Linked DNA regions of Oryctolagus cuniculus. The protein of the gene in region 4 binds, or shares a complex with, the protein of the main gene of each other region. Links are inferred from orthologs where the notes say so. Each region holds a gene or a part of one and is shown on either strand. Other genes may lie near its edges. The genes, in order: CACNB1, CACNB2, CACNB3, STAC3, CACNA1C and CACNG1.

What was found.
Region 1: STAC3 (region 4) and CACNB1 share a complex: the UniProt entries of both Homo sapiens proteins name them as parts of the calcium channel complex. The link is inferred for Oryctolagus cuniculus from reciprocal best matches to the Homo sapiens genes STAC3 and CACNB1.
Region 2: STAC3 (region 4) and CACNB2 share a complex: the UniProt entries of both Homo sapiens proteins name them as parts of the calcium channel complex. The link is inferred for Oryctolagus cuniculus from reciprocal best matches to the Homo sapiens genes STAC3 and CACNB2.
Region 3: STAC3 (region 4) and CACNB3 share a complex: the UniProt entries of both Homo sapiens proteins name them as parts of the calcium channel complex. The link is inferred for Oryctolagus cuniculus from reciprocal best matches to the Homo sapiens genes STAC3 and CACNB3.
Region 5: STAC3 (region 4) and CACNA1C share a complex: the UniProt entries of both Homo sapiens proteins name them as parts of the calcium channel complex. The link is inferred for Oryctolagus cuniculus from reciprocal best matches to the Homo sapiens genes STAC3 and CACNA1C.
Region 6: STAC3 (region 4) and CACNG1 share a complex: the UniProt entries of both Homo sapiens proteins name them as parts of the calcium channel complex. The link is inferred for Oryctolagus cuniculus from reciprocal best matches to the Homo sapiens genes STAC3 and CACNG1.

Annotation. Positions count from the first base shown.
Region 1 is NC_091448.1:23,118,522-23,123,197, forward strand, and holds part of CACNB1 (voltage-dependent L-type calcium channel subunit beta-1), read left to right. Parts: intron 1-113; coding exon 114-200; intron 201-690; exon of another isoform or gene 691-724; coding exon of another isoform or gene 725-959; intron 960-1,360; exon of another isoform or gene 1,361-1,489; coding exon of another isoform or gene 1,490-1,519; intron 1,520-2,579; coding exon of another isoform or gene 2,580-2,632; intron 2,633-3,036; coding exon 3,037-3,156; intron 3,157-4,223; coding exon 4,224-4,346; intron 4,347-4,676. UniProt on the Homo sapiens protein: Regulatory subunit of L-type calcium channels. Regulates the activity of L-type calcium channels that contain CACNA1A as pore-forming subunit.
Region 2 is NC_091444.1:44,637,018-44,641,693, reverse strand, and holds part of CACNB2 (voltage-dependent L-type calcium channel subunit beta-2), read right to left. Parts: intron 2,312-4,676; coding exon 2,189-2,311; intron 568-2,188; coding exon 431-567; intron 1-430. UniProt on the Homo sapiens protein: Beta subunit of voltage-dependent calcium channels which contributes to the function of the calcium channel by increasing peak calcium current. Plays a role in shifting voltage dependencies of activation and inactivation of the channel.
Region 3 is NC_091442.1:52,304,824-52,310,134, reverse strand, and holds the start of CACNB3 (voltage-dependent L-type calcium channel subunit beta-3), read right to left. Parts: upstream 3,587-5,311; 5' UTR 3,426-3,586; coding exon 3,381-3,425; intron 1-3,380. UniProt on the Homo sapiens protein: Regulatory subunit of the voltage-gated calcium channel that gives rise to L-type calcium currents. Increases CACNA1B peak calcium current and shifts the voltage dependencies of channel activation and inactivation.
Region 4 is NC_091442.1:59,882,912-59,888,266, reverse strand, and holds the start of STAC3 (SH3 and cysteine-rich domain-containing protein 3), read left to right. Parts: upstream 1-1,764; 5' UTR 1,765-2,005; intron 2,006-2,634; 5' UTR 2,635-2,635; coding exon 2,636-2,698; intron 2,699-2,951; coding exon 2,952-3,219; intron 3,220-3,443; coding exon 3,444-3,541; intron 3,542-3,745; coding exon 3,746-3,818; intron 3,819-5,355. UniProt on the Homo sapiens protein: Required for normal excitation-contraction coupling in skeletal muscle and for normal muscle contraction in response to membrane depolarization. Required for normal Ca(2+) release from the sarcplasmic reticulum, which ultimately leads to muscle contraction.
Region 5 is NC_091440.1:100,500,070-100,504,745, forward strand, and holds part of CACNA1C (voltage-dependent L-type calcium channel subunit alpha-1C), read left to right. Parts: intron 1-1,924; coding exon 1,925-2,031; intron 2,032-2,347; coding exon 2,348-2,451; intron 2,452-3,575; coding exon 3,576-3,911; intron 3,912-4,676. UniProt on the Homo sapiens protein: Pore-forming, alpha-1C subunit of the voltage-gated calcium channel that gives rise to L-type calcium currents. Mediates influx of calcium ions into the cytoplasm, and thereby triggers calcium release from the sarcoplasm.
Region 6 is NC_091448.1:13,143,476-13,148,751, reverse strand, and holds the start of CACNG1 (voltage-dependent calcium channel gamma-1 subunit), read right to left. Parts: upstream 3,325-5,276; 5' UTR 3,184-3,324; coding exon 2,955-3,183; intron 1-2,954. UniProt on the Homo sapiens protein: Regulatory subunit of the voltage-gated calcium channel that gives rise to L-type calcium currents in skeletal muscle. Regulates channel inactivation kinetics.

The DNA.
Region 1 (4,676 bases), on a different chromosome or scaffold from region 4:
CTCCCCTCTGGGAGTGATGTTGCCCAGGTCTGGCTGTAGCTCTGGGTCGGATGGGATGAGGCTTGGGAGAGGTCCTTTCTGATTCCACGCGTGTTCCCCCCTGGCTTCCGCAGGGCAAATACAGCAAGAGAAAAGGGCGCTTCAAACGGTCCGACGGGAGCACCTCCTCAGATACAACATCCAACAGCTTTGTGCGCCAGGTACCGGGGAGGCCCGGGGAGAGCCGGGAGGCCGCTGTTGGTGGGGGGCGGCCACGGGGAGCTGGGTCTACTGCTTCCTCCAGGCATCCTTTCCCCTGTCGTTTGTCACCTGCTTGGAACCACCCCATCATCCTGACACCCCATGACCGCTCCTGGATGTACTGTCAGCTGCACCCACTGCCTCAGCTCCCGCCCCCGCCCAGCCCCTCCCCCAGCACCAGGCACCAGCCTCTGCTGCCTGCGTCATCTCATTCAGGGACAGCCTGGCCTGCCTCCTCCTAGCTTGCCTCGGGCTGTCACCCACTCCCCCTGCCGGCTGGCTGCTTCCATGTCCTCCCCCAGGATCTGTGATGGGGTAGGGTGGAGGCATATCCTAGGGGATGAGGAGCGGGGACGTTTGCGTTCCTGGAGGGACCTTGTGCCCAGATGTGACTGTCTAATGCATAGAGAGAAGGTGTAGTGAGGGGACAGGAAGGGTTTGAGATAGAGAGCACTGCAGCCCGGCACCCCCTGACTGCTGGGGGATGGCTGAGCTAGCGTGCTGCCGCTCTCATCTCTGTTTTGAATCTGAACCCCAGGCTCTCTTGGGCTCAGGGAGAGGCAGTGAGGCAGACATGTGGTTGCTATGGCTACTGAGCATCACAATAAAGCCTGGTACCCGAAAAGGCAAGAGGGGCTTGGGATCAGATAAGGGCACGGATGTGTTGGGGAGGAGATGGGCAAGGTCCATAGATGAGGCCAGGAGACTCCGGAAGCGAGGTGAGCCCCTTGGTCCAGGAGGAAGAGGAGGGTGCAGGCGCGTCTACTGCAGATGGGGATGAGGTCCTTCTTGTTGGTTCTTCTGTCTCTGCAACACGTGGCACCCTGAGCCCAGGCCTGACTTCTGAGATTCAGGAAGGGGACCTCGTGCTGCGTCTCCTAAGTATACAAGCAGCCAGGAAATCCTCCCTTCCATCACTCCCTCATCCCGTCCCAGCAGGAATGGGCCAGGGCCAGGAAGACTATCGCTGTGTTTTGTTGCCCCTCTTGGCAGAAAATGGCCTTGGTTCCTTCCGTGTTTGCCAACCCAGGAGGTCGGACCCCCAGTCTCCGGTTCTCCTCTCAGCTCCCGATTCTGACCCCCAGTAGGTGGTGGGGAGTGGGGGGGCAGTCCTTGCCACATCTCTGAGCTAAATATACCCCAGCAGTTTGCACATGTAGCAACTCTGCTTGTAACCTGAGCCCCCTGGGGGGACGGGCAGTTTGGGCCACCCCCTAGGCCAGCAGGGCCAGGCACTGAGGGCGCTGGGATGGAGGCTCCCAGCCGGACCCTGGCGGTGGTGAGCTGGGGATGGGGTGAGGGTGGTACGCCAGCCCCTCAGGAGAGCTGGCGGAGGGGCCTCCCCTGCAGCTGTCTCCTGTGCGCCTCGTGGTTTCCCGTCTCCTGCTGTTTCTGGTGTGTGCGTGTGTACATGCGTGCGCGTGTGTGCCCGCTCTGTGTTGGGGTCTGCCTGTCTGTCTGTGTCTTGCTTCTCTGGCTCAGCGGTGTCTGTTTGCCTGCTCAGAGGGGTGGAGAAGGATCAGAGCGCTGGTTCCCACTCCCCCCAATGCGTCCCTTTACCAGCTTCTCATAGTGACCCCCACTCCTTCCCCTGCATGTCTCCCACTTTCACTATTTGGCAGCGAGAAGGATGGGCGACTGCACCAGCTAATGGCCAGGAGCCTCTGGGGGAGGTGGGGCTCGGTCTTCTTCCTTTCCTAATGGGCATTCCTGGCCAGGTGACCCTCAGGAAAGGATCCCCATGGCCCTGAGGGCCTGTCCTTCCCCCACATTCCCTCCCACCTGTGCCCAGCACCACCCCTGCCTGCACAGTCACCCATGAATCCACACCTCGCGGCTCCTTCCTTAGCATGCCTCTCTCCCTCAGGGACGCAGACCCCTGGGGTGCCCTGTGGCCCGCACTCACACATAGCTGCACATGCTTAGTCACGCACAGCCATACTCTCACACACTTGCCGTCATACACCAAGCATGCATGTGAATCGGGCGTCCGTGCTCTGTTCTAGTAGGTCTGCACAGGCCGTGTGTGTCTCACATGCACTTGTGCATCCGTACCGGAGTTCCCTGTGCTCCAGTCTGGCCAGTGTGGTCAAGGCCAACTTCCTGGCACAGCAGGCTCTTGACCCTGCTTCAACCCTGGCACCTGGCAGCCACGGTGTTGAGAAAAGGCTGCCTTGTATTCTGCTCTTAGCTTGCCTCTTCTGCCTGCACCCCACTGAGACTCTTGGGTTCTTTTGTATCTTCCAAGAGCTGGGGTCTGGGGCTCTGAGTGGGGTGTCCTGGGTACCAACTAGAGAAGCGAGGGAGGTAGGGATTGATCTCTTTCCCCTGTCAAGCAGGAGATGGCAGCGTTTTTGGTGGCCAGTGGTGCAGAGAGCTTGGAGCTCAGCGGGTGGGAGCAGCACCACTGGGCTTCTGCTGAGTGTATCTCAGCCCGTGCTGGGCAGGGGAGGGAAGGAGGCGCGGGGAGTGGAGACTCGTCCCCTGGCACTCCTCCCTTACGCGGTGCCCCTATCAGGTTCCCACCCCTCCCTGGGCCCCAAGCAGCTGTCCTGGGACCTGCCTTAACCCCCTGCTTACTGCTTTCACCCTTCCAAGGGCCGTACTCCTCCCCGGGGCCCTGTCAAGCTCAGCCCCTGGACCCTTCCACCTAACACCATTTTCTCCCAGCCCTGTGGTGTCATCTTGGGCCAGCTGGGGCTTGAGTCATCCGTGATGGGTGACACCTCCATGTCTTCCCAGGCCCAGGACTGGGGGAGGCAGTGCTGGCCCTGAGCTGGCTGTGTCTGCTTTCAGGGCTCTGCCGAGTCCTACACCAGCCGTCCGTCGGACTCTGATGTCTCCCTGGAGGAGGACCGGGAAGCCTTAAGGAAGGAAGCAGAGCGCCAGGCATTAGCCCAGCTTGAGAAAGCCAAGGTGAGAACTGGGGGGAGGGACGTGCTGGCGTTCTCTCTCCCAATCTCAGGCCCGAGCGGGGGCCTGGACCAGAGTCAAGTCTTGGCTCAGCCACTTCCTAGCTGTGTGTCCCTGGACCTCAGTATGCCCCTGCTCACCTGTCAGATGTGGGCTGACATCCCTCCCTGCTTGCCCAGGGTAAGAAGTGCCTAATACAGTCCCCACACATCACAGGAACTTGAAAAGTGCTCAACATTGCCACTTCTTCTTGGAGTCAAACTTACTGGGCTGGAATCCAGGCCCTGACTTCTTTGTAATATTTATTTATTTCAAAACCAGAGAGAAAGAAATAGGTGGAAGGGGGGCAGAAGGAGAGAGAGAGAGAGAGAGAGATCTCCCATCAGCTGGTTCACTTCCCAAATATCAATAATAGCTGGGGCTGGATCAGGCCAAAACCGGGTGCCTAGAACTCAATCCGGGTCTCCCACGTGGGTGGCAAGGACCCAACCACGTGCACCATCCCTGCTGCCACCCAGGATGTGCACCCGTAGGAAGCTGGAGAGGGGAGTGGAGCTGAGACTTGAGCCCCGGCGCTCTGGTACAGGATGCGGCCATCCCGAGCCGTGTCTTCCTCGTTGTGCCCAATGCCCGCCCACCACACCTCGGTTCTTGATACTATGTGATTTTAGGCAATCACTTCACTCTTCTCTTCAGCCTCCTTATTCATTAAGATGAAGGGAGCGGTCATGGAGCCTTTGTGATGAAGCGGTGAGGTGGTGCGTGCGAAACGTGTCAGGGGGTCCCTGGCACGCTGAACAGGAGCCACTGCCCTGATTGTCATCACCCTCATTCCTTCTGGGTGGCCCTCTAGGCTCCCAAGCCACCCACGGTGTCATCCCCCAGGGCCCTCCCCCACACCGAGAGGACAGAATGCCAGTTTTGCTTCCTTTTGTGCTGTAAAAATTCACCTTTGTACGGAAAAACGCACAGCCCACTCAGCGTGCACTTTGCCGAGGCAGACCGCTGCGTGATCCCATTCCCGCGTGGTTTAACCCCTGGTTCCATTCTTCCCCGCATGCCTCCTCCAGACCAAGCCAGTAGCATTTGCCGTGCGGACAAATGTCGGCTACAATCCATCTCCAGGGGATGAGGTGCCTGTGGAGGGAGTGGCCATCACCTTTGAGCCCAAGGACTTCCTGCACATCAAGGAGGTGGGGAGGTCACTGGCATCAGGAGGGCGGATGGGTAGGGGGCAGCTAGAGCTCCAGGGGGAAGGGCCTCTCAGCCAAGCAGAGCAGGGCAGAGTCTGCTGTGTGACTTTTGATAAATAAATCTCTCACCTCTCTGAGCCTCTAAGTTTTCCTTGGTAAATGAGGTGGTAACACCTAGGGGCTGCGCTAAGGGAGAGGCAGTCCATGGCCAGAGAGGATGCTGGTCCCGGAATCATCCTGAGAATGGGCGGCCACACTTGGAAACTGGGGTGGGCACGTCTGGGGTGGCTTCCCTGGGAGGGGGGCTGCTGCCTGCACCTCCAGTTTCTG
Region 2 (4,676 bases), on a different chromosome or scaffold from region 4:
TGAAAATGAAACTGATAGATGAAAAGAGCTGCTATCTGCTGATGTCGTCTTGAAAACGTCTCCCTGTCATGCCAGGCAGCTGCGGACACTGGACACTGGGATTCATCACCAGTGCTACTCCCTCCGTGCCAGAGCCCTTTCAGGAGACAGTGAGGACTTCAGAATTTCTTGGGCACTGAAGCCCGAGTTCAGCACTCTGTGACCTCCGCAATTTTCATAACGATGATTCAGGATGATTCCCTCCCGAATCTCGGAGGGGAATCAGATGCTGGAATTAAGTTTTTAAAATGTAAATTTGTATTGTATTCAGTAAGCGTACCACCAGTCTCCCTTCAAACAAACACTAAGGGATGCAGAATACAACAAACAGAAGTACGGAACGGTGGTGTGATCTCAACTTTTACCAAAGCACTTGACATTGCTCTCATACCTGGAGTAGAATTTCCCTTGCTTTGCTCTCTGTTCATGCTGTAGCCTCATGTTTTCTAGTTTGACCGGGCTTGGAATGAATCCGATTTCACAGCCTTCTTTAACCAAACGCCCTATCCACCAGTCATTGTTAAATTTCTAAACACAAAATCAAAATTATTACAATCAGTGCACAGGAGTAAAATCTCTGAATTACTTTTCTTCCATAACAACCATTTCAAACGGAGCAAGATATGGCAATGAACTACATGATAACTATCGAAATTCAAGGAAGCTTTCGGGCCATGGGTTTAGTGCATAGATGTGAAATACTCTCCGCACGCTTAGCATTCCATCAAAGGCTTTCTGCTCTTTTTCCTGGTGCTGCTTTAGGTCCAGGATGAATTCCTTCCCAGCTGATGCTGTCACTATGGGTAAGACAAGCTTCCTGGGTTCAAAGGTTAGCAGCCCTTCCTAGTAAGAGACTGTAAGGAACTTGGAGGTGTTACAGAGATCCTTCTTAGGTAATCAGATTAATTAGAAGTATTAAGAGAGAGAGAGAGAAACAGTGAAATCTACTTGAAATATTTTGTCACAGTAAAATTTCCCACTGTGCAGTTTTATAATTACTAAGCTAATGTTCACAGATGATTTCTCTATGTGTACCAAGGCTGACACTTTATCTCTTGCTGTTGGAACATTTATCTTAAACCTTTATGATTTGCGCTCACATTCCTCAATCACATCAGCCTGTTCTTGAACACATCAAAGACTATCCATTCTCTCTTTCTTTTCCTTCCGTGGTAGAGATCTTTCTCTAGGCATCAGCCATCGAGAGGAGACCCTGTATCAATCTAACCTCCTGTTGTAAAGTCAGATGCGAAGCATTCCATCATTTCTGTCTTCCTACTTAGCCAGTATTTCACATCTTAGGAGTTATGACACAACACCCTCTAAATTCCCTACTCCTTTAATTGGCAGTCATATTCTTCTGTGCTCACAGCCTTCAGAGCAGTGAACAGTTAGATTTACATATGTTCCCTCCGATTTATCAGCCCTATGCACGCTCCAACTGTAAATCCCAAAAGGTCCAAGAAAACCTCATGCTCACTCACTGAGAACATTATGTAGGGGGAATTCCTGGTCACTTAATACAGTGTCCCACACAGAATGCATATGATAAATGTTGACTCAAAACAAACTTTAATTAAGGGTGCATTTTTCCCATTTACAGATTGTGTCACTGTTATCTAAAAGATAGTGATGTCTAGCATGGAGGAAAAGCAATGTTCCTGATGTGTTTCTTGCCTCATTGGCTCAAATTCCTCTCATTCTCCCCTCTGCTGCAAAAAGTTAGCTTCTGAGAATTAAGGAGGGGCACCAGTAGTCTGGTTCAGCCACTGTCAGCACCTGGGAGTCATCAATTCTGGATACTAACCTCTCCCCAGGTGGCTAAATTTCAGGTAGCAGGAAAAGCCACACAGAGTCAAAGTTAAACATTAAAAGAAAGTAGCAGTTAAGCATAAAAAAGGATCATCTACTCTAGGAGTATCCAATTACTGGGCCAAAGAGCCCAAGTGAGCCCTGAAGTTATTCTGGGAGGCTTGGATTCCTGTCTCCTTTAAAAAAGTGTGTTTGGATGGGAAAAAAGGCTGAGAACCACTGATTTAGTGTGAATGTTACACAAATGTAGCTGTACACCGAGCTATTTCACAGCAATAAGAAACGATGCTTCAAGGTGAAAAATCACACTGACAGAAACTGCAATTATTTTCCTTACTTCCTTAACATGCAGAAAATCTTTTGCTTCAAATGAGATGGCCATGCCTGGCACTGGGACATCATCTTCGTGGGCAGCACTGTAGCTGACATTTGTCCGAACAGCAAATGCAACAGGCTTTGTCTAAAGAGGGAAAAGAAAGGGACAAAAAATAAGAAGAAATGAAGCAACAATGCCCCCTCACCCTTGCCTCCCAAGGCGCAGATACACAGAATAACTGGTGGGGTAATCTTGGTTGTTTTAGTCCATGATTCCTTGTCACAAAACAGCCTGTTATCATCCACAATGCACGAGATCTGGCCATCAGCTACATACCATCCATTTGTAAACTAGAGCAAGACCACTGTTCTCTGTGAACAGTTAAATACAGGTTTACAGTACAACATCTTGTAGCACCTAGAAGTCAGGAAGCACAAATATGAATAAAACACCAAATTCTTTGGTTCAAGAGGAAAAGACTCAGTAACTTCCCTCTACCCAAAACATCTACTTCAATGAATCATTAGTAACATAGTTCCAAAAGGGACAATATTTTGAATGAAAAAAGAACCAGGAAATGAATGTCTATTACAACTATAGCAACTATTATTCATGACTGTGGGGAACTGTGAAAGCAATGACCTTTTATTCTATTATTTTTCCACCTTGAGTTTGCTCAGTCATCAAAGATAACATTAATTAAGCTATCATTCATTATTTGATGCTTTAAAAATTTACAGCTAAGTATGTGTTCCAGGCAACAACTGCTTATTCACAAGATAGAAAAACGGAAGCTCAGAAATGCTGAAAAGAGGTTTGGTCTAACTCAGTTTTATTTTTTTGTTTTTTATTTTTTTTATTTTTATTTTTATTTTTTGACAGGCAGAGTGGACAGTGGAAGAGACAGACAGAGAGAAAGGTCTTCCTTTGCCGTTGGTTCACCCTCCAATGGCCGCCGCGGCCGGTGCGCTGCGGCCGGTGCACCGCACTGATCCGATGGCAGGAGCCAGGAGCCAGGTGCTTTTCCTGGTCTCCCATGGGGTACAGGGCCCAAGCACCTGGGCCATGCTCCACTGCACTCCCTGGCCACAGCAGAGAGCTGGCCTGGAAGAGGGGCAACCGGGACAGAATCCGGCGCCCCGACCGGGACTAGGCCTTTTTTGTTTTTTTTTTTAACACTATGTTTCCACCACATTAGGAGTAAGATTTCTTCTGAGCTGTTTCTCCCCTACTCAAGGAGCTCTTCATCTGGTCTTGCAAGGGAGGGGCTGAAATAGAGAGTACCCATTCAAATTTTCCACAGTTAATCTGTTGTACCTGCTGTCTGGGTTGGAGACTGAACTAAGGGTCCTAAAGTAGTTTAAACATACCCCCCAAGATGCAGACTGGGAAAACAGAATCAAGTTCTGGATACAGGCACCATAGACAGGAAGTAGATTTAGATAGTTGAAAGCCAATTCTTGGTATTCATGAAGATTTTTAAATAATATATAGATGGTTCCCTTGGCCTACAAATATGACATTTAAAACTGTGTAAGGAGGGCCGGCGCCACGGCTTGCTAGGCTAATCCTCCGACTGCGGTGCACTCCAGGTTCTAGTCCTGGTTGTGGCGCTGGTTCTGTCCTGGTTGCTCCTCTTCCAGTCCAGCTCTCTGCTGTGGCCCAGGAGGGCAGTGGAGGATAGCCCAGGTCCTTGGGCTCTGCACCCGCATGGGAGACCAGGAGGAAGCACCTGGCTCCTGTCTTCGGATCAGTGCAGCGCTGGCTGCTATGGCCATTTGGAGGGTGAACCAACGGAAGAAAGACCTTTCTCTTTGTCTCTCTCTCTCTCACTAACTCTATCTGTCAAAAAAAAAAAAAAAAAAAAAAAAAGTGTAAGGAAAATGTGACCACTGGGCCGGTGCTGTGGTGTAGCAGGTAAAGCTGCTGCCTGCATCCCACATGGGTGTTGGTTTGAGACCCGGCTGCTCCACTTCTAATCCAGCTCTCGGCTATGGCCTGCAAAAGCAATAAAAGATGGCCCAAGTGCTTGGGCCCTTAAACTCGCATGGGAGACCTGGAAGAAGCTCCTGGCTCCTGGCTTTGGATTGGTCCAACTCTGGCCAGTGCAGCCATTTGGGGAGTGAACCAGCAGATGGAAGACCTCTCACTTTGCCTCTGCCTCTCTTTAACTGTGACTTTCAAATAAATAAATAAATATAAAAAAAAAGTTAATGATTGTTCTACTGAAACATAAGCCTTAATAACATCTGGTATTTCCATTTCCTTCTTGGAATTTTTTTAAATATGTGAACTTTTTTCCCAGAGCTGCAATCATAATGCATTTGATTTTATCCAGTTTTAAATGTAATATATTACTCAAGTGATATATTTGTTAAACTACCATGTAAAAATAAACTAAACCATTAATTCTTTTTTTGGATCATTAGGCTTACAACTTTAAAAAATATGAATATTCTGCTTTGAAAAATCTCTGTACAAAAAGCCTCTATTTTTTTTTCAGATTCCC
Region 3 (5,311 bases), about 7.6 Mb from region 4:
GAAGGAGAGAGGCGAGACTCCGGGACTTAGGCCTGCAGGCTTCCTAACTCTGGGGTGCCACCTCCTAGGGGTGACTGGACTCCTAGAGTTCTTCCGGCCCCTGGAAGGACCCCCAGGTCCCCAAGGCTGCAGGAAAGATGGTGCAATCTACGAATGCAAAGATCGGGGCCCCTCCTCCTCCAAGCCTAAGACCATCTTTGAACACACTCCACGTCTCTCCTTCCTCTCTCATTTCCCCACCACGTGCTCTGAGGCAGATGTACTGAAAACATGATATATTGGAGATAGTTCTGAATCCAGGATTCGCAGCCTATCATTCATGCCAGCCTCCAAAGCTGCACTCCCAGGCACATGAAATAGACAGTCACCCCCTCCATCCCACTTCCCTCCTCCAACAAGACTCCAAAGGCCCCCGCCCTTCCAGGGTGAGGAGAAGTAAAGACTAGGGCATTGGTACCTCCTGGAACTCACTGCCCTTTCTGTTCTCCCTACCCCCACGAACATTCTTTCCTTTTACACCTGCTGGGGTAACCGGGTCAGGTGTTAGCAGCGAATAAGACACAGACCGTGAGGCAACACAAAGCTATCTTCTCGCCAGGGGACACCAGTGCCAGGTTGGTGCCAGGCAACCCAGCCGAGGACCAGGACCCTGGGGATGTGGGGAGGGGGAGTCTTTGTAATGTCAGCAAGGCGAGTCCCAGAGTCCTGCCCATAGGCAGGGTCTGTGGGTGATGAGGGTACATTTGGAGGTTGGCAGGGTTTATGTGTGTGTTTGTGTGTGCCATGTCTGAGGCCATGAGGGAGAGACACTAAAGAGCAAGAGAAGCCGGGCTTGGAGGCAAGAGGCTGGAATTTACATCGTCTGGGTTTTTCCCTCTGCCCAGAGAAAAGGGAATTTTGTGTTTTCTGCTTCAGTGCTGCACACACACACCCCCACCCCTCAGCTATGAGCAGAAGCCTAAAGTGATTCTTCCCTTAATTCTAGGATGCTGGTAGCAGAGAAAGCAGGAAACTAGATAAAGGGTTCCTGCGTCCGTGCATGTGTGTGCACGTGTGTGTGTGTGTATTGGTGTGTGTGTAGGGGAAGGGGTTCTGGCATATTCTCAGGGTGAGCACCACTCCCACAAGGCTACTGTGCATGATGATTTTCTGGGAGGGGGGGGCAGAGGCCAGACTCTCAGGGGAGAAGGCAAAACTGCACATCTGCTGCCCATAACGTTCTCTGCCCCAGCCCAACCCTAGGTGAGAGAGCTGGAGGCACGGCAGGCCCTCGAGCCTAAATGATGGTGTGGAGCAGACCAAAGATGTGAAGATTGCATAGAGGGGCAGGGAGGGGCGGTCTTTAATTTTATAGATGAGTAGAGCGTGCTTGCGGCTGTCCATCTTTCCTGAGAACAAAATAAGACTGGTCTGGCAGCGGGACAGAAAGACGCTGTGCTGAAACCGCTGGATGTGGTGGAAGACCCCCTTCCAGGGCTCTCAGGACACGCGAAACAGCTCTGTGGGCCACGCTGAATTGGACAGTGGCCAGCAGGCTGGGAGGCAGAGGCAGGACGGCCACTCACTTTGGCGCCTAAACATCGGAGACTGCAGACGCCCAGCAGGTGCTGGGCGAGGAGCCTCGGCTTTCCTTCTGCTGTAGGGCTCTCAGCCTAACTGGGTAACTTTAGTGCAGGGTGCGTCTGGCTTACCTGACCTCTCACCTTCCAGTGGCAATCACAGGAGCTCTCCCGACAAGTTTCGGAGTTATACTCAGAAGGGACTCCTCCATCCATGATTCCACTCCCAAATCCTCAAGGCTCACCCACCTCTCACGCTATGCTATGGCCAGGGCTGCGTAGCAAACCCATTCTTGCATCTTTTACCTCTGCTCTACCCCACTACGGCAAAACAGCCAAAGGCTCAGCACTTTGGAGCTGTCAGAAGTTGGCACGGGTGGTGCCCCCCTTGCCTGGTGAGTGTGTGGGCAGGCTGCAGCTCCTCTCGCCTGGCACGGGGGAAGAAGAGGAGGGAGATGAGCCGGTGGATTTATTTAGAGACTGATCTCCCTCCTACTGCTTCAGAGGGGGCCTCAGGGAGAGAGCAAGGAGCCAGGAGAGAGGAGGCGAAGTGGCGGGGAGGGGGGAAGAGGGTGATCCAGGACGCTGAGACAGCTGGGAAGGCAGCAGGCTCACCCTCAGACAGCCGTCCACGTGTCTATCTTGTCCCGTGAAGGCCCTCGAGCCCTACAGAGAGCTCACTTTGGCACCCTGGGCTGTGCCAGCTGTCCCCTTCAAGTGTCAGAGAGAAGTGTCCACCAGAGCCTTGCACTGCAGCTGCTGTGCAATCAGCCCCAGAGGTCCCCCTGGGAGAACCGGCCCCAGGAGCAGTCAGGTCCCAGGCAAGGACTGCCAGCTCTGCCAGCTCTGCCCCTTAGCAACTCATCCATCCTGGGCTTGGAGGCAAGAGAAGGCTGGAGGCTTGAAGAGGCAGGCTGCGGCCCACGACCACCAGCACCTCTCCCAGGAGGTGCTGTGGCAGGGTTGGCAGCTCCAAGGGGGGCTTAGAAGCTGCCCCACTCTGGGCCCTATCTTTCCAGGCACTCTCCCTGAGCTCCGGGAATCACTGCCTAATGAGCTGATTTGTCTCAGTGGGTCAGGAGATAAAAGCAAAGAAGAGAATTAAATATTTATCGGCTGCCTGATTTCTCTGAGCCAAGAGAGCTTCCTATCCAAGCCCCGGGCCCCCTCCAGCCCCTCTGGCCTCACCGCCTGGCCCTCCATAGGTGCTGGGTGGCAGGCAAGCCGCAGCTGGGCACTGGGCATGGGGTGGGGGTGCAATCAGGTGTCCCCCCCCCACCCCCCAGGGTGCTGGATGCCCAGGAGAGAAAACGGGCTAGAGGAAGGGGTGAGCTATGGTGATGCGCCAGCGGGGGCGGGCAGGAGACACTGGGCCGCCTCAAGTTTTACAATCCTCTGAGGAGACGGCTTGGTACCCGACACCCTCAGGTCCCTGGTGTGCCGTTCATTTACAGCACATAAAGTGTGGCACGGCCCCCTGCCCAAGAGCCCCCATCAATCCAGAATCTGAAACTCCAGACGTCGCGGGAAACCCTTGCGCCCTCAGCCTCCGGCCTCTCTCCCTCCCTCGACCCCGTCCGTGCTGGGCTGCGGAGCCACCTGCTCCAGCCTTGCGCCACAAGGGCCCCCGGCCCCCCGGGTCTGGGCGGGCGGGCGCCCTCGGCGTGGAATCTGTCTTCCCGCTTTCCCAGAGCGCCCCCTGCACGCCCTGCCCCGCCACTGAGGCGTTTGTCAAAGTCCCGAACTGGGGGAAGGGCCCAGGGAGCCCCAGGTGTCGCCCCAACCCCCCACCCCCACCCCCGCTCCGGCGTGGGCACTCACCGCCTCCGAGTCCTCAAACCCGGGCACGTAGGAGTCCTCATACATGGGGAGTCCGGGCGGGAACGCGAGCGGCGCCGGGGCGGGGGCGGCCCCGAGGCAGGGGCGAGGACGGAGGGCCGCGCCCGAGGGACGCCAGCGAGCCCCGCAGCCTTGCGGGCGGCGGCGGCGGGCGCGCCGGGGACGGAGCTGCCACCGAGACGCCTGCTCGGGCTCGCACCGCAGCTGCCCACCCCCCACCCGCGGGCCCACCCCGAGCGCCGCCAAGGAGTCGGCGCCGGCTCCGCAACAATAGCGCCCGCCCACCCGGCCCTCACGGGAAGGCGGCGCGGCGTGGCCGCGGGGGGCAGCCGGGCCTGGGCCGCGGGAGGGCGCGGACGGGAGCTGGGTCCCCGAGCACCCACGGGCCCGGGGCGGCGGGCGGGAGGGGCGGAGAGGCGGCGGGCGGATCCGAGCGGGCTGGAGGCGGGGCGAGGGGCGCTGCGGGCTCCCAGACGCTCCGCAACCCAGGAAACTGCTCCGCCGGGAAACAAAGGGCTGGGCGGGGGCGGGGAAGGGGCCGAGCGGAGCCGGGCAGCGACCCGCGCGGGCCGGGGTTCGGGCGCTGGGGCGGCCGCAGGCTGGAGAGCGGAACCGGGGACCAGAAAACGGAGAGACCGGGCAGCGGCAGGCGGGGGAGGGGGCCCAGGTGAGATGGCGGCGCGTCCCAGGAGACTCCGAAAGCCAAACCTTGCATTGCAACCGCGGAGGAAGGGATTTGGCGACCCCAGGCCAGTGCTGTGGAAGCAACCACCCCAGTCCCCAGCCCGTACGCGCGGGCCCCGCAGTGCGGGGCCGCGCAGCTGGGGGGCGGGGTCGCCCGACCCTGGAGAAGGGCCGAGGTTCTGGCAGCTGGATAGGCCTCCGCGCACCTGTTGCACGGCGGATTTCACCCCTTTGCAGCCACGATGCAGGTTCCCTTCCTCATCTCCCTGCCAAGGGTGGTGCCAGACATGGCCAAAGGCATTCGTGGGAACTGGGGCAGAAGGGGCTGTTTTAGGAGAACCCACGAGGAGGGGTGGGGGCGAAGGTGCGATCCTGCCTGCCACACAGGCTTGGGAAGGGGAGAAAGGGGCGAGCGTCCCCAGTCCCTGGTGGGGGACCAGGGCCACACCCCGCCTTGGCAGCAAGCCCCAGCTGGGGGGGGACAGGTGTCCTGCTTGCCTCGTCCTGAGACTCTCTCGGGCCTGCTTCAGTTTATCTGTGCCTGTGGCAGTTCCGGCCTTCTCCTCTTGCTAGATTTGGGGGAACAACCTGGACGCCTTGACGGCCAAGGGGGGCGGTGGCTACTCGGGGAGGCGGTGGCTCGGCTTTCACAGTTCCCGCTCGCTCCTGCGGGGGGCAGGGGAGGGGCTGATCGTATATGGACATGACTGTGCCCTCTCTCTCGATTCCTTTAGGATTCCTTGTATCTTTTCCATTCTCTCTCGCGTCAGTTCCTTCCATCCTACAGGGCTGGAGGAGTCTGCTGGAGGACTCCTGGGAGGTGGTTCTAATGGCGTTCTCTGTCCCTGGATCTCCTGGTCTCTCTTTTTTGGGACTCCCCCCACCCACCAGAGATCCAACGAGCTGTAGATCTGGTGGATCTGCCATCAGCAGCCCTTCTTCATACACCTTTTTGGTACCCAAGAGACTGCGTTGCCATGGCAGCCACCCTCAGGAGATGGGTTAAGTTCCTCTGGGTCCATCCCCTGGGTCCTGCAGGAGTTCCAAAGCCTCCCTTCACCTTCCTTCCCTCCTCCCCATATCTCCAGGTTGCTACCCAGCGCCCCTTTCAAGTCTCACCCACATCTGTCTACTCTGGTTCTCAGGCCAACCTAATGACTTCCCATCCTTTAACAAGACATGTGTCAGCATCCATGTGGTCCCTAACTTCTTTTCTGGTCCATGGTTTA
Region 4 (5,355 bases):
ATTTAATCTGGTTTTTGTTTGGGGGGGATTATTCGAGGGGAGGTTGGCTTTGTTTTTAAATATTAAAAAAAAAAATCTGTCACTGGACATCAGTCACTGTTTCTCTGTTGCCTCCCTGGGGTGGGTGGGGTTGGAGGCCCTGGGTGAGTAGCGCCCCTCACTGCTGGAGGAATTTGTTGTGGGTGGCTTCCCCTAGCATTGACACTTGACTTCCCTGCACTCTTCCCTCGGAGCCATCCTCCTCCCTGCTCACAGTTCTGATGGGGGCTGGGTCTCTAGGTCTGTGATTCACTGAGCAGCACCTCCCTCCTCAACTCTGGACCTCTGTGTCCCTATCAGTAAAATAAGAGCTCAATGACAAAGTGGCCTCTGAGGGTCCTTCTAGCCCTGAATTCCAGGACTCATGTTGGCCCTGTGGCTGAACTGGCGAAGGTGAGTGATGTTCACAGCCAAGTTGAGATACTGGCCTCGTACCCGTCTGTCAAAGGTTCCAGAAGCCCTTCAGAGGTGGAGGACTTGGACCTTTCTTGAATCCTAAAGCCAGAGGATTGGGTTCTACCTGGCAGGAACAGAAGAGGCTGCTTTTAACAGTAAAAGCTACGCCAGCTGAACTTGAAGTGTCCAGATGTGTGTTCCCTGCCATCTGTGGTGGAAGAAGAGAGGAGCCAGGAGTACTTGGGACTTCCCACAGCTAGCCTGTGGGTACAGGGTGGTCCAGCACCTGTTTCAATCTCCCCTACCCCTCTAGGAGAGATAAAGAGCAGTGGGTGGATGTGGCAAAGTGCAACCCCTAAAATTGCTGGGGTCTGGGTGGCCCTATCTCTAGCCAGGCTCCCCCCAAGAACTTGGCTGACCCCACCTGCGACGCAGTCCTTTATTTCTTACAGATAACAAGAAATAAAGCAGCATATGATAACCCCTCTTTCGTAGTTCAGAGTATCTCTTCCTTCAATTATGCCCTGGCCCAAAGAGAAGGCGAAGGCTGTATCCCCCTGAGATGAGAATGCCAGCCAGGCCTCTGCCCTCTCACTTCACGTGCTGGGGCATCAGAGGTGGGCGACGGGACCGGGGAACCGTAGTGGTTTAGAGACTTGGCCGTCCTCCCTTCAAAAGAGTCTACAGCTCCCTCCTGAGGAAGAATGGACTTAAAAATGACAAAAACTCCCTGCAGAAGGCAGCCACAGTCTCTGGCGTCAAGTATTTCTTCCTTGTTACTGGCCCCTCCTTCCCTGGAGCCCCTCAGGTGGAAGTCTCGGCCTGTCCTTTAGTAACCCTTACAATTCCCTTTACCCTCAGGACAGGATCTTAGTGGAATGGGGGGAGTAGAGCAGTACTGTGTATTCCTCGCCTCATTCCAGGATAGCAAGGTGCCCCTGCAGCTGCCCGGTGTCAGGCAGCCTTGTGGGGTGGCTGACAGGACAGTCAAGTGGCCCATCCTAGCCTGAAGGTCTGAAGCTGGGGGCTGGAGGGCGCAGGGACTTGGAGCCACCAGGAGACAACTGCAGAGAAGAGAAGCCTGGCTCCTAGAGGAGCTCCGGGGAGGGTAGAGTTGGGGGTGATTGGGCCTTGGGGAGAGGGGTTGGGGGTCTAATTCATCTTCCCTCACTTGCAGTCATCTGCATCCCCTCAAATGGGCACACAGCGTGAACAGAAACTCCCAGCACTGGGCCTGTTCAGCTCCTGCTACATGAAGAATCAGGGAACAGCAGCTGGGGGAGGGGTGGAGTTAGGGTCCAGCCCTGCCCAGACCTCCCGTGTCCGATTTCTCTGTGTCAGCTGTGTGGCTCAGCTGTCCACTTCCCTCCAGCCCTGTCATTTCAGCTCTGACACCAAGGCAAGAGGCTAGGAGGTCTACAAATAACCGTCTGAGTGGCTGGTGTGAGTACGGACGGCACTGGGGGGGCTTAGCCCCCAAGGAAGAGGAACCAGTCCTCCCCCAGCACCACCGTCAAGGCCCCAGGGGCTCCCTCTGCCCTCCACAGCCTGACTTTAGGGAACCCCAAACGTAAGTTGCCTCTTGCTCCCCTTTCCTGCTCCAGGATTGTTCTCCCCAACTTCCCCAGTCGTAGTCTATTCAGCTTCTGTGTCCTCTCATCTGTAAGTAGTGGGGTTTTTAGGAGTGGCATTATTCTACTCCAGGATGAGTTGGGATTGGAGGTGGGGGTGGGGTTGAGGGAACAGAGTAGTAGGGAAGGAAAGGCTCATATTACTCTGAAAACTTAAAATAGCAGGCCTGAGGCAGGCTGGGACAGAAGTAGGCAGCGGGCCCCAGGAGTCCAGAAAGAGGGGAGAAGCAGTGTCTCCAGCTCATCCCTCCTTGTGGGCTCGCAGGGATGCACAGCAAACCTGCAGGGAGGGCGTGTAGAGGCACAGCCTACTGGACTGAGCAGGCTGCCTGTCAGAGTGGAAGGATGGATGGGAGGATAGCACTGGCTGGGAGGTTCTGACGTCTGCCGAGTTTCTTCTGGACCTCCATGGAATCTTGCTGCTCATAGCCCTACCATAGGGTCTCTGCGAGATTTTTCCTGAAGCCTCCCTTTCAAAGACCACCCTACCCCCCATGAGACAAGAATGAAAAGACAAGAAGAAAGGTAGTCAGGGATTAGATTTCCTATGGAGTCCAACCTCTTGCAGGATGACAGAAAAGGAGGTACCGGAGTCCCCCAAGCCCTCCCCAGCAGAGGCTGGGCAAAGTGGGGTGAGTCTGGGCCATTGACCGCTGTGTGGGGGGAGCTGGGAAGCCATTGCCGGCCAGAAGGAAAGTGCTTGATTGGTCTCTGCGTGTTGTTAGATGACTAGCCAGCACCTGTGGCTCCCCTGACCCCACCCACCCCACCCCCGGCTGCATTCCTTGCCCCAAACAAGAACAATGTGGCTAGCTGTAGCCTTAGCTACTCCAGGAGGCCAGGACAATCCTGTTAACATTGGGTTTCCTTCACTCCCTCCCTCAGCTGCAACGGCTGAAGCAGTTGTTCAGGAAGGGGTCTACAGAGACAAAGGAGATGGAGCTTCCCCCAGAACCCCAGGCCAATGGGGAGGCGGTGGGAGCTGGGGGTGGGCCCATCTACTACATCTATGAGGAAGAGGAGGAAGAAGAGGAGGAGGAGGAGGAGCCACCCCCAGAGCCTCCTAAGCTTGTCAACGATAAGCCCCACAAATTCAAAGATCATTTCTTCAAGAAGCCAAAGTTTTGTGATGTCTGTGCCCGGATGATTGTGCGTGAGTCATGAAGGGAAGCAGAGAAAGTGAGGGTGGAGGCAGGGAGTGCGGGAGAGGGTTTAGGAGAGTGATATTGGTAGCAGGTGGCCGGTGGCAAGATTTGACTTGGGAGATGGCTGTTAAGAGATTCAGAGTATAGAGTCCCAAACCAAAAAGGGAGAGGAAACTCTGGTGCAAAGAAGGGCAAGCCGGGGTCTTACACAGATGTTCTCTCCTCCCCCAAGTCAACAACAAATTTGGGCTTCGCTGTAAGAACTGCAAAACCAACATCCATGAACATTGTCAGCCCTACGTGGAGATGCAGAGATGCTTCGGCAAGATCGTGAGTAGGCTCTGGGGAGCAAGAAAGGAAAAGTGGGGGACTCGCTAGCTGTGCCCTTGCTGCTCCCCCTCAAGTCATCCCTTTCTTCTCCCTGCTTCTTCTTAGCCCTTCTCTTGCTCTGAGAAGGGGCGAGCACTCATGGGAGACATGGGTTCTGGACCCTGCACTACTGCCTCTAATACTTCCTCCCATCCCATCCTACAGCCCCCTGGTTTCCGCCGGGCCTATAGCTCCCCACTCTACAGCAACCAGCAGTACGCTTGTGTCAAAGATCTCTGTAAGTGCCCCATGTGGGACCTGAGGGAATGGGGCAAACCTCAGAGATGGTTGCATACCACCTCTAGCTTTGGAAGCCACAGTGTGAAACAGGAACATTCTATTTCCCATGACTCTCCCTCATCCTAATACAAAGGGTCTTCAAAAAGTTTGTGGAAAATGCTTGTCAGAAAAAAACTGTGGATTTTGAATATTTTTTGCACCAAAATAATTTTTTAATTGATTTTTTTTTTTTTTTTTTTTTTTTTAGGCAGAGAGAGACAGAGAGCTCCCATCCGTTGGTTCACTCTCCCAAATACCCACAATGACTAGGGTGAGCCGAGTCCAGAGCTAGTAACTCAGTTCAGGTCTCCCATGTGGAGATGCTTGAGCCGTCACTGCTGCCTCCCAGGCTCTGCATTAGCAGGAAGCCGAGTCAGGAGCTGGAGGTGGTTCTCAAACCCAGGCACTCCGATGTGGGATGCAGGCATCACAACTGCGAGGCTAACCATCCGCTTCCTAAACCTTTTAATTCTACCTTTTCATAAATGTTTGTAGTACCCTCATAAGGACTATTACAAAAGTAATAAGTACTTTTATAGCCATCTCGGTTGCAGCGTTAATATTGCCCTGTTTGAGGCAATCTTGAGAAAAATAAGATTTGCCTGGAGGGGGCCAGCACTGTGGCTCAGTGGGTTAAGCCTTTGCCTACAGTGCCAGCATCCCATATGGGCACCGGTTCAAGTCCCAGCTGCTCCACTTCCACTCCAGCTCCCTGCTAATGGCCTAGGAATACAATGGAAGATGGGCCAAGTTCTTGGCCCCTGCACCCAAGTGGGAGACCTGGAGGAAGCTCCTGGCTTCAGATTGTGGCCATTTGGAGAGTGAACTAGCAGATGGAAGCTCTGTCTCTCCCTCTTTGTGTCTGTAACTCTGCCTCTCAAATAAATAAATAAATCTTTTTTAAAGAAAAAAAATTGGCTAGAGCTATCTCCAGCTAACAGGAGATAGAGCCAAGACTGAAAATTGCATCTGCGAGTTTCAAAACCTGTGCTGTTCAGATGCAAAACTGTTTCTGAGCAAGAGCAAAGATTCTAGACTGTCCTCACACTTCTCACAGAGTTATCCCAGACTCAGCCAGATCTGGAGCTGTGGGCAGCCTGGGCAGGTGCATGATTTGGCAATCCTTAGAAGTGTATTCCTTGACAATTCTCTCAGCATTTATTTGGAGAAGAGGCTGAACTTTGCGAGGAGCATGGGTGAAAATGAAGAATCTGCTGGTCACAGCACTGCAGCTTACACGTGCCACTCGGCAGGGAGAAGCCATCAGTTAAGGGAGCACTCTCCTTAGGAGAACGGTGACTCCACGCATGCCCCAGCTCCAGAGAAACTTGCTGCCATGTTTTCCTCCAGCGTCACGTAATGCTCTGCCTGGAAGGAGCCTGGCAGATCTCTTTCCATCTCGGGCCACTTCCAGTGCTATTTGTAGCAACCTCCATAGATGGGTGACCTCATTATCACCCAGATGACCACTCCCTGACCCTCCCCTCAAATACGGC
Region 5 (4,676 bases), on a different chromosome or scaffold from region 4:
AAGCCTGAGGTCCTCTGAGGGTCCTTAACAGATAATACTCTCCTAATTGGAATTGTGAATATATTTTCATTTTATTTGAAAGACAGGGACAGATAGGCAAAGAGATCCCCCACCCACTAGTTCACTCCCCAAATGCCTGTGACAGCCAGGAATGGGCCAGTCTGAAGTCAGGAGCCTAGAACTCAATCTGGGTCTCCCACATGGGTGGCAGGGATCTAACTATCTGAGCCATCAGGGTGCACATCAGCGAGACACTGGACTCAGAAGGGACAGGACTCAAAACCAGGCATTCTTACTTGGAGTACAGGTGTCCCAAGTGGCATTTTAATCCCTGCACCAAATGCCCACCTCTAAATTAATTTTTTAAAGATTTATTTTACTTGAAGGTCAGAGTTACAGAGAGAGGAGAGGCAGAAAGAGAGAGAGAGAGAGAGAGAGAGAGAGAGAGAGGTTTTCCATCCCCTGGTTCACTCCCCAATTGGCCGCAACAGTCGGAGCTGTGCCAACTCAAAGCCAGGAGCCAGGAGCTTCTTCTGGGTCTGCCACATGGGTGCAGGGGCCCAAGGACTTGGGCCATCTTCTACTGCTTTCCCAGGCCACAGCAGAGAGCTGGACAGGAAGTGGAGCAGCTGGGTCTCGAATTGGTATCCATATGGGATGCGGGTGCTTTAGGCCAGGGAGTTAACCTGCTGCGCCACAGCACCAGCCCCTAAATTAATATTTAGATAATGCAAATTACTGCATGGTTACATATCCTAGAAATCAGGAAAAGCGCAGGCTGCGTGCTTGGTATCCGGGAGTTCTGCTGAGTTAACTAACTACAGTCCACACTCAAGGCTGTTTTACAAACTGGTTTGGAAGCCGAGAGGATCTCAGACAAGAAAGATGGTTGGCAACTGTCTAACTAACTGCCCACAGAGTGGGGTACACACTGAGCTGCACAGGCATTCTGAGAAGGGGCGGGGCAGGGTGACTGTGATGGTTATGATCCAAGCTCAGACAGAAGCTGGGTCTACAAGAGCAGTGGTGGTTTGGATAAGAAGGAAATACAATAGGGAGGGCTTGCATGGTTGAGAAGAAAGGAGCAATGCATACAGATGATTGTAGATTCAATGAACATCTACACATCAATGCATGGAGCAGGGGTGTGCTCGGTGGTGAAGCCAGCACACCCCTGTCCACCATGTAGGGGAGCACTGGGGACAGCGTCCAGGGCCTCACCTGTGGCATGAAGGGGTGGATGCAAGCCATGCAGGCCAATGCACGAGGGGCTGTGAAGTCCATGGAGTGTGTTGCAGCCCAAGCCTTTTAATAAAACCAAGCAGACGAATGTAGACTAGCAACGTGCAGAGTGCAGGGAGTGCCGTCGGGTGCGTTTCCTTCCATTGGGTCTGTCGGGCAGGGTGCCCGAGGTATTTCTTGCTGGGTTCACCCTTGGAAGGGTTGGCGGCCACCCACCAGACACCCCTAAGGCCCCTCTCCACCTCGCTGCTGACTGGCTGCATCTTTGTCGCGAGCAGCTGCTGAAATGCACATGCAGGGGGATCTGGGAGCGGGGGCGGCGCTGGGGCTGAGGCCGAGAACAGCCTTGGTAAAGAGCGTTGGCCTTTGTGCACACAGGAACCTAGGCCACTCTGAAAGAGGCACAGGGGCCTGGAATTTTCTCCAACTTTCTCACTACCTTTGTCCCAAGAGTGCCTCCTACTGCCTGAAGTCAGAAATGCAGGGCTTACCACTTGGGCAGTGGATGGACAGCCCCTTGGGCCAACATCTGTGATGTCGGCCCCCCCTCCCCAAACCTGTCCATAAGCACCCCCGGGTGGGGAAGGGTGGGCGTTCCCCTCAGCAAGGGAAAAGGCAAAATGGTTTCTGGGGACGAAAGCTCTGAGCTCCAGGAGTGAGCCCCGAGAATTCTGTGTTCCAGGCTCTCCTACCAGGATGACGAAAACCGACAACTGGCGCCCCCGGAGGAGGAGAAGCGGGACATCAGGCTGTCTCCAAAGAAGGGTTTCCTGCGCTCCGCATCACTGGGTGAGCACACCCCTGGCTCTGCAGAGGGCGCTGGTGGTCACCCTGAGATGCCTGGTCAGGGACTCCGGGATGGCCCGGGGTCAAACAACATCCAGGCAGTGGGCTGGGCAGACTTCCAAAGTGAGAAGAATGATTGCAAAGACAGGGTGTGCTGGGGTGGGAGCTGGACACACGTGCTCCGCAACGCCTCAGAGACAAAGCAAGAGGCAAACAGGAAGGGTGTCTGAGCCCCAGACCCTGCTCCCACCGGGTTCGGAGCTGTCACAGCCCTGTCCTCTCTTCCTGCCCTGAGCCCCTTCTTTGGCTGGCTTTGTAGGTCGAAGGGCTTCCTTCCACCTGGAGTGTCTGAAGCGGCAGAAGAATCAAGGGGGAGACATCTCTCAGAAGACAGTCCTGCCCCTGCATCTGGTCCACCACCAGGTAGCCCATGATACTGCACTAAGCCACCACCCAACAGTCTAGGCCGTACTTAAAGGCATTCAACTGGCAATCAAAGCTTATAATCACCCTAAGACAGCCAGCTTGGTGTGGCCAAGTTGATATCACTTCAGCTCAAAGAAATCCACCATTTTGCTTAGCCTGTGGAGCGCTGCCCATGTGTGAATGATTTCTACTGGGCTGTCCACAACACCACACATAGCCTTGTTCTTCCTTTAGGTTCCCAGGCAGCCAGGAACCCCATCGGGAGCTGGGGCCGGGACAGGGGGAATGGCAGGAAGTGGGGACATCATGCTTGCTATTTTGGAAGGCGGTTTTAGCAGCTGGTTCCACCCATCTGTTCTTATCACGCTGGTGGGCAAGGCATCCTTCCTTACCTGTATCTGGCCCCTCCAGCCACCCAGTGTCGCCCCCTCCCACCACACACCACAGCAGAGCAGCAGACGCTGTGGGGCCGAGTCCTGACCCAGCGGTGATGCAGGCCACGGCCCTCGGGCTGCCCAGCAGCAGCCAGGGACACGGGACGCAGACGCGTACATGGCTTCCTAGCAGCGCAGTGTAAGGCTTCTGCCATGGCTCAAAGACAACCCGAGCTAGGGGTTGGCAGGGTTCTATTCCTCGTCCTTGCTTTTCTTTTCTTTTTTTTCCTTTTTTTCTTTTTTATAAAAGTCAGAATAACGAGTACTGGCTTGATCTAGCTCCTTGTGATGGACATCGAACTTCTTCACAGACCTTGATCCTCACCCCAACCCGCACGGCTGACTGACAGGGCATGCGTGTCCTGCATTTAACATACAGTGTAGGGTCATCGCTCACAGTCTACCAAGAACAAGAGGATTCACAAGTACAGCAGATGATCCTGATTCCACTCAATTGCAGCTTTCTGAACTCACAGAAGGAAGAGATCACTTCAGGCAGACTGAGTTGTGCAGAGATGTATTTTGAGATTATGGAAACCTGGGCCAGGTCTCGATGAGCTAGGGCTCAGAGGGGGTCAGACAGATGGGGTGTGTGTTCCAGGTGGGCAGAAGTAACTGCAAGACTAGAGGCCTGCGTCCCTTGGGCCCCATCGCTCCTAGTAACTCGTGCTTCTTGTGTGTCCACAGGCATTGGCAGTGGCGGGCCTGAGTCCCCTCCTGCAGAGAAGCCATTCCCCCACCTCGCTCCCCAGGCCCTGTGCCACGCCCCCTGCCACACCGGGCAGCCGAGGCTGGCCCCCACAGCCCATCCCCACCCTGCGGCTGGAGGGGGCCGACTCCAGTGAGAAACTCAACAGCAGCTTCCCGTCCATCCACTGCGGCTCATGGTCTGGGGAGAACAGCCCCTGCAGAGGGGACAGCAGCGCCGCCCGGAGAGCCCGGCCCGTCTCCCTCACTGTGCCCAGCCAGGCTGGGGCCCAGGGGAGACAGTTCCACGGCAGCGCCAGCAGCCTGGTGGAAGCGGTATGTGAGTGTGGGCTGCGGGGCAGAGGCAGGGGAAGGGCATGTGGACTGGAGAACTGAGGAGGGGGGAGACGCTTCCGTCCCCATAGACTGAATGTCATCTCCCTGACCGCCACTTTCGGGGACACACGGAAAGTGATGGGCTCTCATGGCTTCTGTTGAGGAAGAAAGCACTGGGTAACACAGCCAGTGAACCCCGAGAAACGGGCCTCAATGTTCAGGGACCGCTCAGAACCCACACACAAACCTGGGCTGCACACACACACACACACACACACACACGGTGGCCAGGGAGCTCTGGAAGACTGTGGCAAATTAAACTGAGAATTTTAAAGCTTGGATGCACAGCCAGGTTGGAGCGCCATCAGTTGAGAACACGAGTGCTTCTGGCTGCCCAGTCCAGGGCATCTCATGCAGTCCTGGTGCCACATTTTAGGGGGCCTTTCACAAGCTGGTGCAAACCCAGAGGAGGGTGACTCCGAGAAGGAGTGGCTTACGAAGCTGCAGTTCTCATCTCACACCCATCACGGGCACTCGGCCAGAAAGGGTTACAGCCCTGGGCAGGAGGACGGGGCAGCTGGCTTAGACTGACAGGCAGGCTGATTTCAGCTCCTTTCCAATGAGCTCTGCCAGAAGGAGGGGTCTTTCCTAAAAAGTAGGAAACCTCCCACCACAGGACCTAGGTAAGCAGACAGGGCCCGCCAGGCCACCACGCTGCCTGCAGGAGGTTGGGAGTTGAACCAGGTGACTTCGAATGTCCATTCT
Region 6 (5,276 bases), on a different chromosome or scaffold from region 4:
TTGTGGCCTTTTGGGGAGTGAACCAGTGGATGGAAGAACTCTTTTTCTTTGTCTCTCCCTCTCTCTGTCTGTAACTCTGCCTCTCCAATAAATAAATAAATCTTTTAAAAAAAATCTTTGTACAGCAATTTCTGAGCTTCCTAAGGGATCTATTGGCTCCTGCTCCTCGCTCCCCCCCAACATGGAGCCCCTACCATTTCAGTTCTTTGCCTGTCCATATTTCCTGCGTTGAGCCTTTATTACTGCTTATTGTTGTTTAGTGACTTCTGGACTAATTTTGTGAACTCTGTATTCTTTGTTGTGTCTGACAACTGAAATGTCTGTCTCATTAGCTTAGTGGCCAGTTAACAGAGATTTCTTAAATGCTTAGGACCAGGATCTCTCCCAGTCTACTGAGGGGCCCTGAGCACATGTTAGGGATGCCGGGGGCCCTCAGCTAAGCAGTCTACATCTCTGCTTTAGACTCCATTTCTACTTGCACAGAGCCTCAAGATAAGGCAGGGGTGAGAGCTTAGGACCTCAGGTCTCTCCTGAGCCTGTTGGCAGCACCGTGCATGCACAAGGCCTTCGAGGTGCCCAGGAATATGTTGGAACTTTCCAAAGCTGCCAACGGACATCATATCCTCCAGCGTTTGGGCTATCCCATTATTAGCACCAACTGTTTTGTGCTGTCTCAAGAAGCCATGATGTTACACAGTTGGCTCCAGTTGTTTTCAACAAATGCTCCCTGGGAGAAAGATTGGTGGCACTGGAGAGCTCAGAGCCAGGTCAGATAGAGGCGATTTGTAAGTGGGGACTTGCAGGGAGCCACAGGACAGGTCGCACAATGACCGCTCTGAAAACAGAGCCGTAAAAGAAAGCTGGCCATTTGTCCCCCTCAGTGGCTGTTGGGCTGCTATGTTGGTGATGACTGTGAGATGTTGAAGCCACGGCAGACCTGGGGAGGGTGCGTGGGAATGGGCAAGTCTCTGTTCCTCCTGAGCTTCCCTTGTTTTTCTGGAATTCTGTGAGATTTGGTTAATGTCCAGTGTCCTGTCAATTTTTGCCAGAATCCTCATGGCTTTTATGGGGAAGATTTGGGGGCAGGCATGCCTTACTCTGTCCTATTTTTCTGACGTCATTTCAAGTGAATTTAGGAAAAGCATTCACAACAATACATGCACACAGTGCTACGTTTGCGTGCCTTTGTTGTTGCTTTGGTTAATAACAAATAAATGAGAGATGTATGAACTCGCTCCAGAAAACGGTGGTCCCGAGGAGATTAAGGAAGGTAAAGGTACATTGGGAAGGAAGCAGACATCTGTTTGCAAAAGAGGAAAAAGGCCGGGGGGACATGCTTGGGAGGATTATTGGAGGGAAGGCAGTGCTGAGTGCCGCAAGTGCATGATTCACGCCTGGGGCGGGGGCGGCGTGGAGAGGCCAAAGAGATGGACGCTGCTCAGGCTCAAGGCCAAGTGTCGGTCCCCTGGGGCTGGCCTGGTCACCTCTGGCCAGTCTGTCTCTTCCTTGTGTGGACTCTGCCCGCTGCCCTGCTCATCGGCTCTGACTTTAAAAGGCAGATGGCTCCAAGGACAGCAGCTAGGACCATGACAGTGTCCCTGGAGGAGCCGCCTCGCCCTGCCCCGCCCTGCCCTGCCCAAGGGAGTTGGCTGGAGGAGGCGTGTGTTTACGGGCGTGCTCAGCGGTGGCCGAGGGCATGAGCATCTGCGCTATGCGATAGCCCATGAGCACATGCCCACGCCTGTCAAAGCTCCCAGCCCTGGACTCAGCGTTTCCAAGACAGCTGAGGATTTACGAGTCCTCTGCACGCCCCCCGGGGGCACGCGGGGCAGGGGATCCCTGGAGCAAGTGGCAGGGGGAGGAAAGGGCGGCATGGGGCTAGGGGCTGGGCAGACTGCAAGACCTCTGGGGGCTCAGCGCCACCCGCCTTAAAGGACGCCCTTTCTGAACACGCATGTCAGGTGGGACGGTGTCACTCACAGCCTGGCCGGCTGCCGCCTTGGAGGGACCTTGGTGAGCTCTGGGAGGGATCGTGTGTGGCTGAGACCAAGTCTCCTGTTTTATAGAAGAGGCAGCAGGAGGAGCTGAGCTGGGCTTTGTCTGCCCAGAAGCCTCCTCTAGGGAGCAGGCGGCTAGCGCGTGACTGGGGCCCAGGCCTCCGCTCCCCGCACAGCACCCGCTGCCCTGGCACACGCTCTGCTCACTGGAACTCCGTGGGCCCCACACGTGCAGAACCGACACTCTTCCCAGGGATCTGTCTTGCTCACGCCCCACGTCCTGGACCGAGGGCTCACCTGCAGCGTGTGGCTGGGTGACACTGTGGGACAGGGGACACTTTGGAATCTGAGAGAGCTGAGTTCAGGGGGCCCCTCCGGGAGGTCTGTGGGCTCCCACGAGCAGGCAGCCGGCTTGCATGCTGCCACATCCCACTTTCCAGGGGTGCAGCCTGCACAGTCACACCCACCCCAGAAGCGCCCCACACCCTGCGGCCGCCTACCTGAAACGCTTTGTCGCCGGAAACTAGGAGCCCTGCCTTTTCATTCTGCAGGAGGCACTGCAGACCCTGGAGCTGGCCCTGTTTGCACCCTTGCCTGGGCACTGAGCAATGAACCTGCCGGGCTGGGGGCACACGGCCACCCAGCCTGGGGACATGGGCTGTGACCCCTGCTGAGCCAGAGGCCCTGGTCTGGTGGACCTGCGTCTTCGTCCTGGGCCTCTTGTCCCATCTGTGCAGCTGTCTGCTCTGGGCGCATGGCCCCATGTTCTAATAGCTGGAAACGTAAGCCCTCCGTACATGGCCGTGCCATGCGCAGCTCTGTCTGCCCTGGGCAGGGAGGGCTGGGGTGCTGCTTGGACCCGAGGCAGAGAAACCTGCCTTTTTTCCCACGGGCACCTCTTCCGGGGCACCTGCGACAGGCAGGAGGCAGAGAGGGGACAGGGCATGGATACGTTACCCCCAGGCAGGGTGATGGGTCCGCAGCTCCTGTCCTCGCCCAGGGCGATGCGCTTGGTGCAAATCCGCCACAGGCCGAAGTGGGCGGCCTCGCAGGTGGTGTTGTGGTTCTCCATGTGGGGGCTCAGCACGGCCCAGTGGTCGCTCACCACGGCCGTCATGGCCAGCACGATGCCCACCAGGATGCAGAAGAGGGTCACGCGGACCTTTGGGGCTTCCGTCGGGGACATGGCGGCTGCAGAGGGGTGGGTGCTGCAGGTAGGGTCTGGCGGCGGCGCCTGCCCGTGCAGGTGGCGGCCCGGCTAGGGTGGTGGCCGTGGCTCCGGAGCTGGGGGTGGAAGCTAAGTTTAGTGTGCCCGGCTGAGCCAGAGTGGGCCGGCCTTGGGGCTGGGAGACGCGGGCTGGGGCTGAGCAGCTGCCAGACACGTCAGGGGCCTGAGCGAGGCTTCTATTAATGCCTCCAGCAGGGCCCAGGACGGCGTCTGCTCGGGTTTCAGCGCTTTCTTCCCCTCTTGGAGCCAGGGTGGGGCAGGAGGAGGCTTTACAGAGTGACTTGGAGTGGACGGGGGCGAGGGATGGGCCACCTCGTGTCGGGTGATGCACCTGCTCTGGCTGCAGAGGTCCTGCTAAGCCAGCACAGGGCCCCCGGGGAGGCCCTGCTGCTTCCTGGTCTCACACTGGGCAAGCCAGCTGCCAAGATGGGGTCCTCATCCCGGGGAGTCAGGGGACCCAGGGTCTTGCCTAGGGACAGCCCAGGGCCCTCTGCCCAGGGCCTCTGGAGCCCCCTCCCACGCAGTGCCTGAGCCCGCACAGGAGCCCAGCCCCACCGCCCAGGCCTGGGAATCTGCATGCATGTTCCTCAGCCAACTGTGACCTCACTATGAGAACACCTCTACCTCCTCACTTCTCTTCCTGTTCCTGTCCCTGTTCAGGGCTAGGGAACGTGTGCTGGAACAACCGCCCTTAGAGACAGAGAGAGGCCCGGAGAATACAGCTGGACTCAGCGGCACCACTGTTTCTATGGAACTGCTCTGAGCGCCGCCTCCTCTTCCAGGCAGGTCATAAAGATTCCTGGCTGTATTTTCACTTACAAAGTTAAATGCAGGCCGGCGCCACGGCTCACTAGGCTAATCTTCCGCCTGCGGCGCCGGCACCCCCGGTTCTAGTCCCGGTTGGGGCACCGGATTCTGTCCTGGTTTCAGCTCTTCCAGCAGACAGTGCGGCCCAGACAGTGGGGTGGTGTGATGTGCCAGCTCCCAGTGGGATGGCGTTTGGAGGCGGGCCTTTGGGGGGTGGTCTGGTAAGAGTGGTGGCTTGGGGCCCTGATGAGAGCCCAGAGAGCTCACTTGCTTCCTCTCTGCCATCTGCAAGCCAGGAAGAGAGCCCTCACCAGAACCTGACTGTGCTGGCTCCCGGCTTCCAGAACAGCACTTGGCTGTGGTGCCCTGGGCTGGCGGCATGGCGGGCGGTGGATCCAGGATGGCTGCGTCAGCATGTTCTTCACAGACCACTGGTGGATGGGTTTGCTCTGAGCTTCGGAGGCTGAGGTCACTGAGGCTGTGAGGCACTCACTCTAGGTCCTCCCAGAACCTTCACAGATGCTTATTGAGAGGTTTGATGGATGGACAGACGGACTGAAGGCGGAGGGCAGCTGGGGCTTGAATACTTTACTTTCCCAGGGACCTGCGAAACGGCAGGTGTTTGGCCTCGTGGTTAGGACACACTGGAGCGTGTGGTTTGGAGTGTCAGCCCCACTCCTGGCTCCAGATTCCTGGTGAAGTGCACCCTGGGAGGCGACAGGAGCTGGCTCAAGTAGTTGGGTCCCCGCCACCCATGTGGGAGACCTTACTCCTGGTTTCAGCCTGGCCCCACGCCAGTAGCTGTGGGCCTTTGGGAGGTGCACCGGCAGATGGGAGCTGTCTCTCCCTTTCTCTCGAATGGACATCAGCAATGAAAAGCTAGTGAGGATGAAGTTTACTTTAAAACAAAATGAGCTGGTGCTGCGGCTCACTAGGCTAATCCTCCACCTTGCGGCGCCGGCACACCGGGTTCTAGTCCCGGTCGGGGCACCGGATTCTGTCCCGGTTGCCCCTCTTCCAGGCCAGCTCTCTGCTGTGGCCAGGAAGTGCAGTGGAGGATGGCCCAAGTGCTTGGGAGACCAGGAGAAGCACCTGGCTCCTGGCTTCGGATCAGCACGATGCGCTGGCCGCAGTGCGCTGGCCGCAGTGGCCATTGGAGGGTGAACCAATGGCAAGAAGGAAGACCTTTCTCTCTGTCTCTCTCTCTCTCACTGTCCACTCACTGTCTCTCTCACTGTCCACTC